2 linked regions of the Neurospora crassa OR74A genome follow. The protein of the gene in region 2 purifies or fractionates together with the protein of the main gene of each other region. This does not show direct contact. Links are inferred from orthologs where the notes say so. Each region holds a gene or a part of one and is shown on either strand. Other genes may lie near its edges. The genes, in order: crp-10 and stk-52.

Evidence for each region.
Region 1: the proteins of stk-52 (region 2) and crp-10 purify together in Saccharomyces cerevisiae (affinity purification with mass spectrometry; 3 studies listed by BioGRID). This does not show direct contact. The link is inferred for Neurospora crassa OR74A from reciprocal best matches to the Saccharomyces cerevisiae genes RIO1 and RPS3.

Annotation. Positions count from the first base shown.
Region 1 is NC_026503.1:4,035,082-4,039,440, forward strand, and holds crp-10 (40S ribosomal protein S3), read left to right. Parts: upstream 1-1,402; 5' UTR 1,403-1,562; coding exon 1,563-1,585; intron 1,586-1,844; coding exon 1,845-2,610; 3' UTR 2,611-3,605; downstream 3,606-4,359. Other genes in the region: NCU11185 (protein phosphatase), read right to left, coding at 1-414, 478-501. UniProt on the Saccharomyces cerevisiae protein: Component of the ribosome, a large ribonucleoprotein complex responsible for the synthesis of proteins in the cell.
Region 2 is NC_026503.1:5,215,332-5,219,684, forward strand, and holds stk-52 (serine/threonine-protein kinase RIO1), read right to left. Parts: upstream 2,941-4,353; 5' UTR 2,695-2,940; intron 2,563-2,694; 5' UTR 2,550-2,562; coding exon 918-2,549; 3' UTR 431-917; downstream 1-430. UniProt on the Saccharomyces cerevisiae protein: Required for the final endonucleolytic cleavage at site D converting 20S pre-rRNA into the mature 18S rRNA. Required for the final steps of cytoplasmic maturation of the 40S ribosomal subunit.

The sequences.
Region 1 (4,359 bases), about 1.2 Mb from region 2:
TCTGACATCGTATAGGTCCCAACCGTTGATTTTACTTTCGGGTGAGTTTGGTGGAGGTCGGTAGCTGAAGGCCAGCAGCTTATCGACGCTTCCTAGCTTGCATGTTCTGGACTTGATGAACTCGAATGCCTCCCGGGCTTCCTTGTCGCCTGCGAAGTTGAAGCTAACATATGTAAAATCTCTGAACCGAATACGTATCGAGGAAGGAACGCCACTAGAAGGGGGCGTGGGCCGTAGGGTGCACTGTGAAATAATGTGGAAGGCAAACCACACTTGCTTCACACTCTTTTTCAGACTCGGATCTGCGGCAGTCAAAGACTCGGGGGGAAAGCGGAAGACGAGATGGTAGTCACTGAGCGCAAGGTCGCCGAGCTCCGGCTTTCCGCCTCGCAAGGCATGGATGTTTGCGAAAGTCTGGCATTCGGTTCAGTAAAGAAAACGAGACGTAGTTGGAAAGGTAGATGATGGAGAGCATACGTGCTTGAGGTGAGGCGCCGCCATCGTGATGTTGGGAGGTAATACTAACTACCCCGGCACTATGAGGCGCTGTGCAGCCGAGGTAGGAGACCGGACGTCCGAGACCCAATGTGTCCGGACAGGAGCGCAAGACGTGTTGACAGATGCGGTTGCGGCGAGAGGAACGGGGAGAATAGAATCTGCTTCGCTTAAGATGTATCGTAGTTGTACAATAGTGCCAGACTGCAGGACTGGGAAACAGAAAAATGTACCAATTAGGAACATGTGTCCTGATATAAACGAAAAGGAGGAACTTCGCCGCGCAGTCACTGGTGCCGGTCAACGATAAGTGATTCACGCGGAACTTGTTGGGATTTCAAGAGATTGTCCCCGAGGTCCACGTGGAATCGATTTGGAGGACAGGTATTTAAAGGCGACAGGGACTGGTAACTTTGTAAGCTACAGAACCTCTGCTGCTAATCCTCCTGCCGTCCGAATCCAAGGGTATGCGAATAGTGACTGCGATTTGCGAACAAGCAGAAAGTCAGCATCTGGAGTGCAACGCGCTCTGGAACCGGGGAAGCGACGATTGACGTCGATGGACACCCCACTATCAGCGCCACCCCGAACCCGACTGAGGACGGAACGTTCATGGTGCCTGCCGGTGTCAGAAATTGCCCGAGCCAGCAACGACTGACAATCAAAGGAAGTGAAGTGCACGAGGTGGTCTGGGCGCAAGGCTGGGCCTGGACGGGGACGGGAAGCGCAAGGAAGCACCTCAACCCCACATGTGAGATCTGTACGTATCTCCTTTTTTGGGTTGCGCTTGGCGGCTCCTACCTAGCGTTGGGCGCGCAGACTGGGTGCGGATTGCCAGCCGCTTGCCAGCCGGGATGAGCCGTGGCGGCTGTTAACCCTACTCAGCCAGCCACTCAGAAGCGGCAGAGGGCAGCCCACCAAGGAATTCGCAAAAAAAGTAGCTGTGCCGGTCGAATTTCCCCCCATCTTTTTGAAAAGTCCGGTGAACACCGCGAGAAGGTATCCCACTCCATCCTCCTCAGCAGCACAATTGAAGCCCTCAGGACCTTCATAGCCAAATCGCAAAAATGGCTGTTCCCGGCACCCAGATGTAAGCAACCAGAGCAAACCAAGAGCATGGAAGCCTCCTACATGTCTACTACACGTCTTCACGACTGTCTACACGTCGGTGCGATCTGCTGCTGCTGTGGGGGTGCAAATGCAAAACGAAGGCGTTCAGTCACGAAGCCGGGAGATATGCTGCCCGCTGGTTGCAGCAGATTCAGCCGACGGGGTGGGATTTAGAAAGTGGTGGCTTGGAAAACAACAAAAGCGGCGTTGATGCTGACTGCTTCTCTTTCTGTCTACAGTTCCAAGCGCAGAAAGTTCGTCGCTGATGGCGTTTTCTACGCCGAGCTGAACGAGTTCTTCCAGCGCGAGCTCGCTGAGGAGGGCTACTCCGGTGTCGAGGTCCGCGTTACCCCGACCGTCACCGACATCATCATCCGCGCCACCCACACCCAGGAGGTTCTCGGCGAGCAGGGCCGCCGCATCCGTGAGCTCACCTCGCTCATCCAGAAGCGCTTCAAGTTCCCCGAGAACTCTGTCTCCCTCTACGCCGCCAAGGTCCAGAACCGCGGTCTCTCCGCCGTCGCTCAGTGCGAGTCCCTCCGCTACAAGCTTCTCAACGGTCTTGCCGTCCGTCGTGCCTGCTATGGTGTCCTCCGCTTCATCATGGAGTCCGGTGCCAAGGGTTGCGAGGTCGTCGTTTCCGGCAAGCTCCGCGCTGCTCGCGCCAAGTCCATGAAGTTCACCGATGGCTTCATGATCCACTCCGGTCAGCCCGCTAAGGACTTCATCGACTCTGCCACTCGCCACGTTCTCCTTCGCCAGGGTGTCCTCGGTATCAAGGTCAAGATCATGCGCGGCTCTGACCCCGAGGGCAAGTCCGGCCCCCAGAAGTCTCTCCCTGACGCCGTCACCATCATCGAGCCCAAGGAGGAGCAGCCCGTTACCCAGCCCATCAGCCAGGACTACGGCGCTAAGGCCGCTCAGGTCCAGGCTGCCGCTGAGGCTGCCCGCCAGGAGGAGCAGGCCGGTGAGGAGGAGGCCGCTGCCCCCGCCGCTGAGGAGTAGGATAACCTCAAGGTCGGGTCAAATGAGGTTTTGCCTTCGATCGAGGTGCCTGTGTCTTTCGACGAGCCTGAGGTCGCTCCTGTGGCGGAGTTCAATTTCGGCGCGGACGATACTTCCATTGTCTGGTAAAGGCCGCTGGGTTTGGGCGGGGTCTTTTTTCAATGTGCTTGCAAGTCCAAACAAACACTGGGTTGCGGAAATGGATGGGTTCAATTTGGCGTCAACTATGGTCATAGCACATTTGCATTAAGACTTGCGAAAAGGGGAAATGGCGGACGGATTGTTGCTTGGGATTATAATTGTTTTTTGTAACCCCACGATCAATGCAGCAACGTCGGGAAATTCCTGACTTTCGCCAGGGAAATAAGATACCTGAACAAGCCCTCCTTCCTTGCCTTGTTTTGCGATTGCCAATTGTGCCATATCCTTTTGTGTGATGAAGGAGACTATTAATGGAATATAGGCACCAATCTAAGTGAGGCATGTGAAGAAATTCGTCCGTAGGTTTGTTGATATGATATCATGGCCTAAATCGGGACATGGAATGTAAGCAGGTAAACATCAGCCACTCTCAGCTCAAGTGTCCCGCAAATATCCAACCGTTCAAGATTTCCCGTCTTTGCATAGTAGCTTCACACCGAACATTTGACGAACACTGGAGGACTGATGAATGTTAACATACACTAAATGAGCTCTGTCTTCACTTGCTCCGACGTTGTTTTGAAATACACGGTTACACCGACTTTGGATATTCAAGCTGACAGACTCCTGCTCAATCGTTCAAGACTTAACAAATAGATACTTCGAGACAAGTAATCTGGATCTTGTTCTGGCACCAGTCCCTTGTTTAAAAAGGGAGGAAAAGGATATGGACGTTTGAGGGGAATAATACACAACTTGGAGGTATAACAGTAATGGAATATAGTGTCTAGGGGCAGTTAGGACTCGGAAAAGTTGGGAATATGGGATCCTATGAAGGGGTAACACATCATTAAGGCACCCGCTCGTACTTGGAACCAATAAGAAACAAGGTAGAGATACTTCACACGTTGTACCTAACTCACGGAGAAGAAGAAGAGAGTCAGGACACGCATAACACTTTTCTTGTTGTATTGGTTTCAATCATCCATCTGTCTTGGTCCCCATATATAAATGAATCCCTTGTGAATTCCCTCCCTCCTTCTCCTCCTCCTCACTTCGATCTGTTGTCTATATCTCCGGTCTTTGCTCTGCTTGGTCTGAAAGGTGCTGTGTTGTGTGTATAGATCGACAATCAATTCGCTCCATTCGTTACAGATTTTGGGGGTGCCTCGGGTTCTTCTTCACTTATACGCCCCTCTTTATACATCTTCGTTTACCCTGAAGACTTTCATGGTATACACTCAGATAAATCCTCAACTATCCCTTCAGAAGAGGGAACTCTCCTTGATGCAGACCTCGAGACTGCGGTCTCGGATTAGGCAAGTTCGGTCAAACTTGGTGGTGGGGCCCATACACCGATTCCCACCGTTATTTTTCTGTTTCTCGCGCTCGACATCGTGGTAGAGTGGAACGTGAACTTCCCGTCCGTTGCACTAAAGGCTAGGCGTGCATCTGGGAAAGTAGATAGCGTAGGTAGAATGGTTTGGTACATAACGATCTGGACTGCGCCTTGAGCCCATGCCTTGCTTGCCCGCCTCTCCCTTTGTAGACCGGCGAACGTTTAACAGAAAAATGCTACAACCGACATGCCCCCCTTGAGGCCCCCAA
Region 2 (4,353 bases):
GGGTCCAGAAAATGCGCGGTATTTTCGTAGGTTTAACCCGTGCCCGTCCAGAGTTGACTCATCCCGAGTTCGATTCCGAGCATGGGCGAGCTGATCTTTTTCTTCTTTTAAGGCTCAGATCACATCCACGAGTAAACGCACCCCTTCCAGAAACGCTTACCAGGTTGACGCAAAAACTGAAGTTGGCTATGAGGTTGGCCGTCAATCTCGAAAGATATGTAAAGAAGCCTTTTACTTTCATCCACTGAAAGTAAGAAGCTCCGACGTTCCTGAAAGGTCCCTCCCGCCACAGCGCAACTCCGGCCCTCTCAAAATATATCACCACTGGAAACATCTACTGAGGGGATAAAAAAAAGGAGAAATAAAGAAAGGGGAATGGGGAGCGTATAGTAGAGGCATCTTCCTCTTTATAAGTACATATTAAAGGCAACAGGAGACTACTGGAATCTCCATGGGATTAATAGGCGCCCAGTATGGGAGCAGACCGTCAGTGCTCTCTTTGGTCGTCATAGCCCGGCTTGACCACTCTTTAGGTGGCTCGCCAGCGACTCAGACCTGCCTTCTGAGAAAGTGTCTCTACTCGAAAGCAGGAGGCTTCGCCCTGAAAACAGGCAAAACCATTACAAGCTCGTTTGAGGAGACGACAATCTCAGGCAGGCTTTACTGCTTTCATCATCCGGTTGCTTTACTTGCTGCGTCTGTGTCGCAAGGGATGATGGCCAAAAGTGTAGCCAGATCAAACGGGATGGGGTGAGGTATGAGAGAGAAACGCCAAACGCATCAAAGCAGGATACGCAGGCTGGAAGATGACATGATCCATTATTCTTTTAGCGCCATAGAAGCCATACCCGAGCCCATTAGCAAACAAGACAAGAGAAAGAAACCAAGAAAAGCTGATACTTGTAGACGACCACAGCTTAGTGCTTCCTCCTCGACGTGCTGTTCACCAACTTCTTCTTCATCGCCTTGGGTATCTTCTCTTTCCTCTTCTCCCTCTTGGCCTCCTTAACCGCCGCCTTGTGCTGCTTCTTTTCGTCCTTGTCGATGAACCTCTTGCCTCTTGGTGTTCCCTTTTCGAATCGGCTCTCGTCATCCTCGTCATCACTACCCTCCTCTTCGTCACCACTGCCCTCCTCCTCCTCATCAGACTCCTCCTCTTCCTGATCCTCCGCCGTCTTGTGCACCACTTGATCCGCCAACAGGTTCTTGTATACCAAATCCTCTCCTTGACCCTCGTTTACCTTGGCGACATCCTTCTCGATATCGTAAACCTCGTTCAGCGTCTTGGGGATGTACTGGTTTCTGAAAACCTCATTGTCGACCTCCTGCTCGGCCCTGGCCTCCGCGGTATCCTCCACCTCCACCCTCGTCTGGTACAGCTGTTCGACCGTCTCCTTCATACCGGGTTCCTCGGCCGGTCCCTTGGGGTTGACGATGAAATCGAAAATCGTGCGGTCTGAGAGCGTGTCGACACCCTTCCTCCTGAAGAAATCGCCGACGTTCTTGATATCCATACGCAGGAACTCGAGCGAGTGGGGATGGTCGTGCTCGACGGATTGGGAAACATCAATGATGTAGAGCTTCTTGTTGTTGTAGAGGATGTTGTATTCCGACAGATCGGCGTGGACGAGGCGGCAGACTTGGTACAGCTTGCGCATGAGGCCGAGGAGTTGGATGTAGAGGTCGCGCCATTGTTCATCGGCGTCGTCGCCCGAGATGGGAGCGTCGCGCAAACGGGGGTAGGCCCAGCCCTTGCGATCTCCCAAGAAGCTCATGACGAGCACGTGCAGCTTGAGCTTGATGGGCTCCGGGCAGGGGATGCCGGCTGTGTACAAACGGCGCAGGTTTCTGAATTCCTTTTCGGCCCAGAGCTTGACCATCTTCCTGTTGTTTCCCTTTTCACTGCCGCTCTTGAAGCGGTGTTCACCAGTAATGTACTTCTCGCGATCCTTGAACACCAGAATGGCCGTCTTGTAGATCTTGATGGCCTTGTGTATGGGGGCCGAGCCATCCTCGGGGTGGAGTATGGCACCGTAGACGTTGGCTTCCTTGCCCGTGCTGATGGCGCCGTGAATCTCGGAGACAAAGCCCTGGTTGATCATCTGCAGCAGGATCATGCGCGTGCGCTGGTCGAGGACGAGTTCGGAGGTGGCGCGATCGGACTTGTCTTTGCTGCGCTCGGCGGGACCGGAGGCATTGTCGAAGGCGTCGATGCGGATCTTTCCGGCGAACTTGGAGAGGGCGGCGATCTGGTCGTCGACGCGGGCCGACGTGTTGGCTGTGGGTTTTTGTTGCTGGGCCTGAGCTTGGGACTGCTGAGAGTTGGTAGCACCGGCGCCATGTTGTTGGCGGTTGTACGACTTGGTCAGGTCGGTGCCGCCATCTTCGTAGTCGAGGTCATCGTCGGATTCAAAGACATCTTGGAGGTCGTCGTCGTCGTCTTCCTCTTCGATCGCAAGGTTGTTGAGCTGGGCGGTGGTGTTGCTGAGGTCGACATTCTGGTTGTCGGTCGCCGCTGTGGTCGACGTGAGTTCTGGTTGGGACGCCATCTTGCTGCCGAGTCTGCTTTCGTCAGTTCCGCCGATATCAGCAGGTGGTGATGAGACAGGATGGCAGACGAAATGGAAATCGTCATGGAACTTGCGAACTTCCACTTCCCGTCCACTGGCAATTTTCTTGGTGGGGCGAGCTTACCTTATCTTATCGTAATGCGGGGTGTCTTCCAGTGGTAGGGCTGTTTTCGAGATTCAGGGTTAGGGTAATCCGTGAGTATCGAGTTCTTGACGACGACTCGACTCGAAGACGGATTGGAATGGAACTGAAGATGTTCTTGGATGTTTCCGTTCCACATGATATGGCTGCTTGTTAAGTAGTCTTCGGCTCACTTTAGGCTTCAGCATTCATAACATCTTTTCTTGCCTCTCCGAGTACAGACATTGCACCCCTGCACCGATGGCGACCAGTTTGCCACTGGAGTGAGCTTGTCGCCTAATAGTTAGTACGCTAGGCGATGATGCTGACGCTATCATTCTGATTCATTCCACTTCCACATTCATTCCTTGAGCTTTGGTTTGCATCTTCGACATCTCAACACGGTGCGGAACACACCTACTTCTGCCGGTGACTCAATCAACGCCAACAGCACTAACAGCACCCAGTGTACGCTTCCCTGTTGGACAGAACCCAGCTGTTAGTGCTCAAAAGGGGCGACCACCCAAAAGCCAATTCTCCACCCATGGGGCATAGGCCGATCCCCAAAGTCATCAAGCTAGCAATGGACACCATGGTCCCGGGTAATTACAGGGAAACCTAACATCATCCTTCTTACATTCCATTTTACTCACGGTCAAATCTGGTATATGACCTCTGGATATTTGCGTCTCATCAATGGAAACGATGGAGACTTGCAATCAAAGTAAACCCATCACGACCTTCTGGCCTGCTTCCACCTCATCCTGCAGGCATACATTGACATGACGCGTTTAGATGATTCGATTCATGGTCGTTGATGACTCCCACGTCAACAAACGGATAATGGGTCATCGACCACCCGAGTTCAGGAATGAACATATTTACATCATGTGTGAGCCGCAACTTGATGTCAACACGGAGCATATAATAGCACAGGGCCACAGTTTCCAACATCCAATAGGTAGGCGCGTCTCCCAATTCCCTTTTTATTTTATTCCGGCAACCCCCATCGGGATTCCAGCCTTGCCTAAACGGGCTCACAACTTCACTCACCATGTGCCACTCCTACATGGAACATCACTTTTGCCGTAATGGCGCCGATTGTCCAGCCGGCTATGGCTGGGTCAACGAGCAAGGGCAGCTGTACCGACGATGGTTCGAGCGCACTAGAAGACGGGTTTACTGCTATGCCAGTAGCAGCGACTGCCCAACCCGCAAGCGGGTGTTGATGACTGACTTATTCGTTTCAAGACGGATTGATGAGCTGTGTCCCCTTTGCTCGGCCGCAGCATGATTGGTATGGGAACAGTAATGGCGATGAGGTTGCTAGGGGGATATTTAGTCATTTGGGTCAAGGTCACCCGGGGCCTTAGAGATCTATTCGGAAACTTTGTTTTATGCTCGGAGTTTCCATAGATTGCTTTGATGCTCTGCCCCATTTCATGTCGAACATTCGCTTCTTTATTCCCTCCGAGCCTCAACTCTCAAATATCCCCCCTTCCTGCCCCTCAAAATTTCCCACCTTGTTCCATTCATCGGTGTCCTTCCCTTCACGCAGATATACTCCCGAAACATACCCGCACGATATCCCCAAATTTCCGGCGCTTTCATTGTGTGACATTAGGGTCCTCTTCTGCCATGTTGGAATCTGGTTCAGCGTTT